Linked DNA regions of Sus scrofa. The protein of the gene in region 2 purifies or fractionates together with the protein of the main gene of each other region. This does not show direct contact. Links are inferred from orthologs where the notes say so. Each region holds a gene or a part of one and is shown on either strand. Other genes may lie near its edges.

Region 1 (4,440 bases), on a different chromosome or scaffold from region 2:
TTGACCTCTGCTCTTTGCCTTTGTTTCTGCCTAGAAAGCAACGACACAAAGGTAGAGCAGCCTCACCAAAGGCGTCAGGACACAAAAGGAGAGAGAGGCTACATCAGCTGTTGTATGTCTATCCCTCGATTCCTTGTTATGTAAGAAAATAATCAATCTCTTATTTGGTTAAGTCGCTGTGGTGGAGTTTCTATTACACATAGCCAAATACAGTCCTGGCACAGGCTTCCAATTACCCTTAGCATCCACTTCCAAAGTCTTACTTAATCTCTCCAACAGCACTTCCTGCCATCCCCTTATTCTTCCTGCACCCATGTCACCAGCCCTATGTGCCGTTTTCAGAATATGCCAAGTTTATTTCCGCCTCAGTATCTTTGCCCTGCTGTTCTGCTGGAATGCTCTTCCCCTAGATCTTAACATGGTTAATTTGAGCCCTCTCTTCACTTAGCTTTGGGTATGTGCGAGTGAGCACAGCTCAGCAACGCCAGGTCCTTAACCCACTGACTGAGGACAGGGATCGAAACTTTGTCCTTATGGATGCTAGTCAGATTCATTTCCGCTAAGCCATGCTGGGAACGCCTTAGCTTTCTCCTTTAATGTCACCTCTGCAGCAAGGTCTTGCCTTCACTACACCATCCAAAATTGGCTCCTTCACACTCCTCACCTCTTCAGTGATTTATTTTTATTCATAGCACTTACCAACGTCTAAAATTGTCTCTACCAGAGACTAAGTTGTTAACTTGTTTACTTAATATCCATCTACTCCACTGGAGTGAAAGCCTCAAGAGGTACAGGCACATCCTCAGTACCTAGAAGAGTGCCTGGTATACAGCAGGCATTCAAAAGATATTTATCAATTAACGACACCTTTAAGTTGGGGCAGACTCTTCCTTACAGTTCAGTTTGTACTGCAAAAAAGTTCTTTGCAATTCAAACAAAGATTTGGTATTGGATTTATTTACTTATTTTCGTTATGCTAGCATTCTGGGGGGTCTAGCATATTTTGTATTGGCACGCTTGGCACACAGATACAATTTCAAGGCCTCACCCAAAATTCTGTACCGGCCCTGTAATTTAAAGCTGCCCTAATGACTGAATTTAACAGCAATGCGTTCAGACACCTGCACTGACAGCGAACAAGGCCGAAGCATTACAATCCTTTTCGTTTCTCCCAGATTATCCAAAAGCCAGTGAGGGGTGAATCTCTATTTAGAGACTCGTTTTCCCCTGACCTTTTCTAGACTGGGCCAAGGATAGGATAACTCCGTTCCCAAGGTGGGCAGTATCATGCCAGAGTGATAAAAGCGTCAGAGGCTGGTTCCAACACCACCTCACCTGCTGTTTGGCCTGTTTGACCTCTTTTGGGGTTAGAGGGCGGAGTAAAGGAGATTGGGGATCCACATTCCGCCTCCTCCCTGCAAAGTGTGATGCCAGATTGGTGAGCTCTGCGGGCTCCACTGCTCAGAATCAAAAATGGATCCGGATTTTTTGTTTCCTTCCCACCCTCTTCCTTTGCCTTGCCGCCCACCTCCAATCCGAAGCTCACGTTGTGCATCAGGGAGCCAGCAGAGGATACCAGAGCCCTTGGTGCGCCTAGCTCCGCCCCCGTAGGAACCCGCCCACTCCCGTCGGCCCCCGCGGCCGCTCCCGTCTCCATGGGGACGAAAGCAGCCAACCAGCGCGGCGACTTCAGCTCCGCCCTGAGGACCACTCTGACTCGGGCAGCGCCCAGGTGGGCTCCAGGGGGCCTGCAGACGGTGGACGGCGATGCTGAAGGCCAAGATCCTCTTCGTGGGGCCCTGCGAGGTGAGGCCGGAGCCTGCGGGGCGGCAAGCCGGGCAGACCAGCGCGGGGTCGCCCCCAGCGGCCGTGTTTTGCGCCCAAAGCCCCACAGGAGCCGGGAGCCCAGTCCTACCGCGCCCACCCTGGTGTGAGCTGCTGGCTTCACCTTGAACTCGGGGCTCCCAGACCTTGACTCGGTTGTACTAAGGCCTGAAGGCCCAAGGTAGTGAGTGGCATTATGGAATCAGAACCTAGATCTCACGACTCTCCTTTGCGCCCATGACTATCCCTAATGAAATATGTCTGCCGGGTGAGAAAAAAACGGAGGAAAAACTTATCGATTACGTGGTCGTGGAACAGTTAGCTTTTAATGTGTGTGGCAGTCGGGGAGAGGGAGGAGTGGGATTAAATCTAGCTTTGTACTTCACACCGTACACAAGAATAAATGTGTAAAACAATTTTGTTAGTAGTAAACGAATAACTCTTCAACTTCAGCACGCATCAGAATTGCCTTGTGGTCTTGTTAATAGCACACTTTGCCCATCCTATCCCAGAGTTAATGATTCAGTGGGTCTGGGAGGGACCTGAGAATTTGCATTTTTTGCTGATGCTGGTTGTCCAGGAACCACCATAGTAGATGAACATGTGGAAAGATGTGTTTTTTTTGTTTGTTTGTTTGTTTTGTCTTTTTGCTGTTTCTTTGGGCTGCTCCCGAAGCACATGGAGGTTCCCAGGCTAGGGGTTGAATCGGAGCTGTAGCCAGTGGCCTACGCCAGAGCCACAGAAACGCGGATCCGAGCCGAGTCTGCAACCTACACTACAGCTCACGGCAACGCCGGATTGTTAACCCACTGAGCAAGGGCAGGGACCGAACCCGCAACCTCATGGTTCCTAGTCAGATTCGTTAACCACTGCACCACGACGGGAACTCCGAAAGATGTGTTTTGAATCTGGAGACAGGGAAGGTCTTCTTAAAAACAACACAAAAATGAAGAAGCCTTAAAAGAAATATTAAAGTTAAAGCCAGGGGAAAGTATTAGAAAAAGGCATGACAGAACGAGGATTCATAGGTAAAACAAACATACAGGAAAGTTTGAGAATGAGTAAATAAAAGAGAAGCAGCTCAATAGATAATCTAGCAAAGTCTGTGCACAAGAAATAGACTTGACCAGTAAGTATGAGAAGATGCTCAGCCTCACAATCACAGGAACACAAAACAAAAAGATGACACTGATTTGCTTGGCAGTTTGGATGAGAAAAGTTTAGATGACTGATGATGTGCCATGCGAGGATGTATGGGATGCATTTTAGGGAAAGGAGTATTCTAGGATTCTATTGATGGCGCTACAAATTGGTAACAGATTTTTTTGGAGATCAAGTTACTAAAATTTAAAATGTGCATAGCTTTCAGTGTGGCAGTTACATTTCCCAAAATCTAAGGACTCACCCATGTTCCCCTGAGTTGTTTACAACAGTGACCAGGTGGAATCTCCCTACCTGCCCATCAGTCAGAGAATGCCTAAATAAACTAAGACATCTTCTTACTTTGGAAGACTGCAGCAACATAACAATTGTTTTCTCATCTAGAGCTTCAGGGCAAGCCAGCCGGGGGACATAGATGTGGGTAAAGTCACCCAGCAGCAGAGCCAGCACTGAAGGCTGTGCTCTCTGGTCCCAGAGCGGCTGTGCCCACCCATCTGGGGAGAGCCCTCCACCCAGGTGGTCTGGGGTGGCCTGGCCTCTTCTCCACCACAACTGGGTCCAGGACAGCCATTAGAGGACTTGCTCATGGTTCACTATTCGCCTCTTCCACAGAGATCATTTATTATCTTAATTTCCACAGAGCGGGAAAACCGTATTGGCCAACTTTCTGACAGAATCTTCTGACATTACCGAATACCACCCAACCCAAGGAGTGAGGTGAGCCCTGACAAACCTGTGTCCCACAGAGTCCGCAGCCGTCACCCAGCCCTACCTTTGGTGCCAGTGCTGTTCCCAAAGTATGACGTTTCCTAAGGAAAGGTGCCGCTCATGCTTTTATCTTTAGGATCCTGGAATTTGAGAACCCTCACGTTACCAGCAACAACAAAGGCACCGGCTGTGAATTTGAGCTCTGGGATTGTGGCGGCGACCCAAAGTACGTTTCCCTTAAAGAATGTTTGCTCCCTCAAGTGATTCAGAAATCCCCTGCCCGCCAGACACCTTGAACATGAGCCTGGCGCCCTTCATAGCATGTGTTTAGGGCTTGATCAATTACTGACACATTGCTCTTGAGACTTTAGTGCCTGGGTCATGATACCGTGAGAGGTCATCCATCAGTGATTCATACTAAGAGATTATTTTTCAAGTCCCCGATTAGAAACCAGAACCACCTACCCTTCCACCCGCATCCTTTTCTGCTGCGCAGGTTCGAGTCTTGCTGGCCAGCTCTGATGAAGGACTCTCACGGGGTGGTGATCGTCTTCAACGCTGACATCCCAAGCCACCTGACGGAAATTGAGATGTGGTATTCCTGCTTTGTCCAGCAGCAGTTTTTACAGGATACTCAGTGTCTGTTAATTGCACACCATAAGCCAGGCTCCGGAAGTGATAAAGGAAACCCCACTTTGTGTAAGGAGCTTGGGGTTCTCCTTTCTACTCTTGTCTGAAATGCTCTGG
Region 2 (3,648 bases):
AAGAAAGAAAAAAAAGAAAACCTTTTCTTTTTAAAATTATATAATTATGTACTTATATAATGGTATAATTAAAATAGAAATATTATTTCTGTAGTCAATACTACATATATATGTAAAATTGTGCATAGTGCAAGACTAACATTGAATGCATGTATTAATTTGTTTCAACAAACATCTATTGTGTATCTACTATGGGTCAGCCATTGTGATAGTTACTGGCAATATAAAGATGAGGAACAGAGGAGTTCCCATCACGGTGCAGCAGAAACAAAACTGACTAGTATCCATGAGGTCACAGGTTCGGTCCCTGGCCTCACTCAGTAGGTTAAGGATCTGGTGTTGCTGTGAGTTGTGGTGTAGGTCACAGACGCAGTTTAGATTTGATGTTGCTGTGGCTGTGGTGTAGGCCGGCAGCTATAGCTCCGATTCCACCCCTAGCCTGGGAACTTCCATTTGCTGCCAGTGCAGCCCTAAAAAGACAAAAAAAAAAAAAAAAAAAAATGAGGAACAAAGTGACTGGACTTAAGGAGTATGTAGCTGGAGCAATAAAAACACAAGAAAAAAGTGCCATCGTAAAAATGGATGCTGTGTGTGAGGTGAATGCAAAGGAGGAATCAAGTTATTCTGATTTGTTGGAGTTGGAGAGATGGGACCAAAAAGTGAATAAACTTTTGCAAAGGAAGAAGGGCTTTTTAGGGCAAGAGAACCTCATAAACTAAGACACAGAAGCATGAGCCTGCATGATGTGTTTACAGAATTTTAATCTTGGTCCAATGTGACTAATGGGAGATGATATCATGTTGGGGGATGATATACTTTAATGATGGGACCAGATTGTCTGGGGTCGTAAAATGCCATACTAAGGAGTTTAGGTTTATAGGCAATAAGGGGTCACTACAGGCTTTTAGACAAGAGTGACATCAATTCTGGGTTTAAAAAATATATATATAATCTGGTAGTAGTAAAGAATGACTAAAGTTGGAGAGACATTAGTGGCAGAATGAACAGTTAGGGGTTGCAAAATCCAATGGTTGTTTTGGGGTTTTTGGTTTATTTTTTAAAATATTTATTCACTAGAATTTTATGATTAAACATTTCTAAACATTTGGCTCCACTTTTCTTTTTTTTCTTTAAAATCAACAATAGAAATCCAGAAACATTTTGGACCACCACAGGGATGTTTCCCCAAGAGTTCATTATTTGTTTTCACAAACACGTAAGGATTGAAAGGCTTGTAATCCAGAGTTACTTTGGTAAGCATATCATGTTTTCATTTCATTTCATTAATTTTCATCACCTTTCAGTTTTTCCATAGGCAGAAGGCACATATGTAAACTTTTGGCAAAAAGACTAATTTTTTTTTATACCATGGAATCCAGTTTTATTGCTGGGGTCAATGGGTGGAGAGTGTGGGTTGACTGCCTGGAGCACAGTTAGCCTCTCTGAAACGGCAAATTTGAAACCCTTCCAAAGCACGTAATAATTTCCATGCAATTTGCTATGTGAAAGCCTTTGGCAAAAGACCCTGTTATGAACATAAGAAGCCAGCTTGCCAGAACACTCGGTTTCTTGATGTCATTATTCCTGATTCTTTTGGCCAGGGTTCTCTGTCACATTCTTTCTGAAAATCTGATAACCCTGATTATTTGCATTTGGTAATTTTGATTCTTTTATTAATAATGGCGTTTTCTGAGAGATTTGGGAGAAGTCTCTCCCACTGGAACATCATCCTAATCTTGTCTTATGTTTATTTAAGGATAAAGTGTGTTAGAATCATGGCACGAAACACGATACATCCCAGATGGCTCAAATGAAGAGACGTTAGTTATTGCGAGGACTACTTACAAAATTATGGCCTGGGTTAAGGGAACAAACTAGGGCTGGTGAGACACCCGAAACTGACTACAGCAGTAAGCCACTACCTCCCCTGGGCCGAGGGAAGGAAAAGTACTGCTGGAGCTCAGTGAGAGCTAGAGTCTGTGCCTGAGGGCCTGCCTTTTAGGAGCTGTAACCAGAAGGGACATAACCCCTGTCAAAGACCCAGCACTGAAGTGGGAAGGGAGTGGAGAAAATACAACCCAACCTCACTTCTCCCCGCCCTCCAGTTTCTAGTCAGTGCCTGCAGTTGGCCAGATCTGGCCACTGGGCAGTGGGCAAATGAGTCCAGGGGACGCAGTCCCCAGCAGTCTTTCTCCCAGGTCACAGAACAGAGAAGGGGAAGAAAGGATGTGGGGCAAGAGGAGCTGGCCTAGGAGTAAGCGAAAAACCAGTGCAGCAGGAAAATGACTGTATTCTCTCTTCTGTCATTACTTGTAAAGGCTCTGGACTCATAGCTAAAGTTTGCGTTCCAGTTCTGGCTGACTAACTCTGTATCACTGAACACCTTGCCTGACTTCTCTAAGTTGCCTGATTTCTTTAGGCCTGTTTCCTCATCCTAAGATTGAAGTCCAGTGAATAAATAAATATATCTGACTCATAGTAGTTTTTCCATAAAAGTTTATGACCGAGACCACTGATGTATTATTATCTACCAGTATGCCAAAAAAAAGATGATATCAAATTCTGAAAGGCTATATACTAGCTTTGTGTTTTGTGCCTGCAAATATTTGCAAGATTGCAGTTACACAGACTGTATTTTACATAGAGACTTATGGAAAAACAGAGAGGCTGAGTGATTCTCATAATGTGGTGGTCCTGATCCCAGTACTTTATGCAGTATCACCCATGCTGAAGTCTTAGAGGAAAAAAGGACTATGGGGACAACAACATAAAACCGGGTAGATAATGAACACTTTATTTGTTTTGTTTATTTACATTATCAGTGCAGACCTTGAGGATTGAAAAGAGCACTTCTAAAGATCCGGTGGATTTTGAGCAGTGGATTGAAAGAGGTATGTGCTTGTTTTACCAGCATTGTTCTGATCATCAGGGAGTAGAGAATTGCCCTCTCCTGTCTAATCGGGCTACATTTTGGTAAAGATGACTTGAATGATTGTTGTGACATATTTAGGGCACAGAAAAACCCAGGTTTGAAAACGGATTCTTCTTCCCTTACTGGTTATATGATTGTTAATGTGATACTTAATTTTTCTGAGTTTTAGAATCCTTATCTGAAAAACAGAGATGATCCTACCATTTAAAGTTTTCATGAACACAGTGTCTGATAAATGGTAGACGAACAATAAATATTACTTTTTCATCTTTCCTTCCTTCCTGATTAATGGTGCTATTTGAATATCAGCAAAATTGGTAGCCTCTAGTTAAACACAACAGATTGACCTCGTGTGTCTATCTCCTTTTCTTCCCCAAATACCGTGAAAATAATAAAGGAATAAAGAGAAGCGTAAACCTGTAAGGAAAAAAAATAAAAACAAACAAAAAACCAGGAGACCAAAGCAAATATAGGAGATCAATGTATATTATGGAAGAGGAGTTCCTGTTGTGGCTCAGTGGGTTAAGAACCTGACATAGTGTCCATGAAGATGTGGGTTCCATCCCTGGCCTTTCTCATTGGGTTAAGGATCTGGCATTGCCACAAGCTGCAGCATAGGTCACAGATGCAGCTCAGATCTGGCATTACTGTGGCTGTGGTGTAGGCCAGCAGCTGCAGCTCTGATTTAACCCCTAGCCCAGGAACTTCCATATGCC

The links. Proteins that work in one complex are often made in the same cells at the same time.
Region 1: the proteins of HSPB11 (region 2) and IFT22 purify together in Homo sapiens (affinity purification with mass spectrometry; 3 studies listed by BioGRID and IntAct, with this or other methods). This does not show direct contact. The link is inferred for Sus scrofa from reciprocal best matches to the Homo sapiens genes IFT25 and IFT22.

What each region holds. Positions count from the first base shown.
Region 1 is NC_010445.4:8,978,813-8,983,252, reverse strand, and holds the start of IFT22 (intraflagellar transport protein 22 homolog), read left to right. Parts: upstream 1-1,617; 5' UTR 1,618-1,767; coding exon 1,768-1,806; intron 1,807-3,625; coding exon 3,626-3,702; intron 3,703-3,829; coding exon 3,830-3,919; intron 3,920-4,189; coding exon 4,190-4,392; intron 4,393-4,440. UniProt on the Homo sapiens protein: Small GTPase-like component of the intraflagellar transport (IFT) complex B.
Region 2 is NC_010448.4:158,355,718-158,359,365, forward strand, and holds part of HSPB11 (intraflagellar transport protein 25 homolog), read left to right. Parts: intron 1-1,146; coding exon 1,147-1,253; intron 1,254-2,822; coding exon 2,823-2,891; intron 2,892-3,648. UniProt on the Homo sapiens protein: Component of the IFT complex B required for sonic hedgehog/SHH signaling.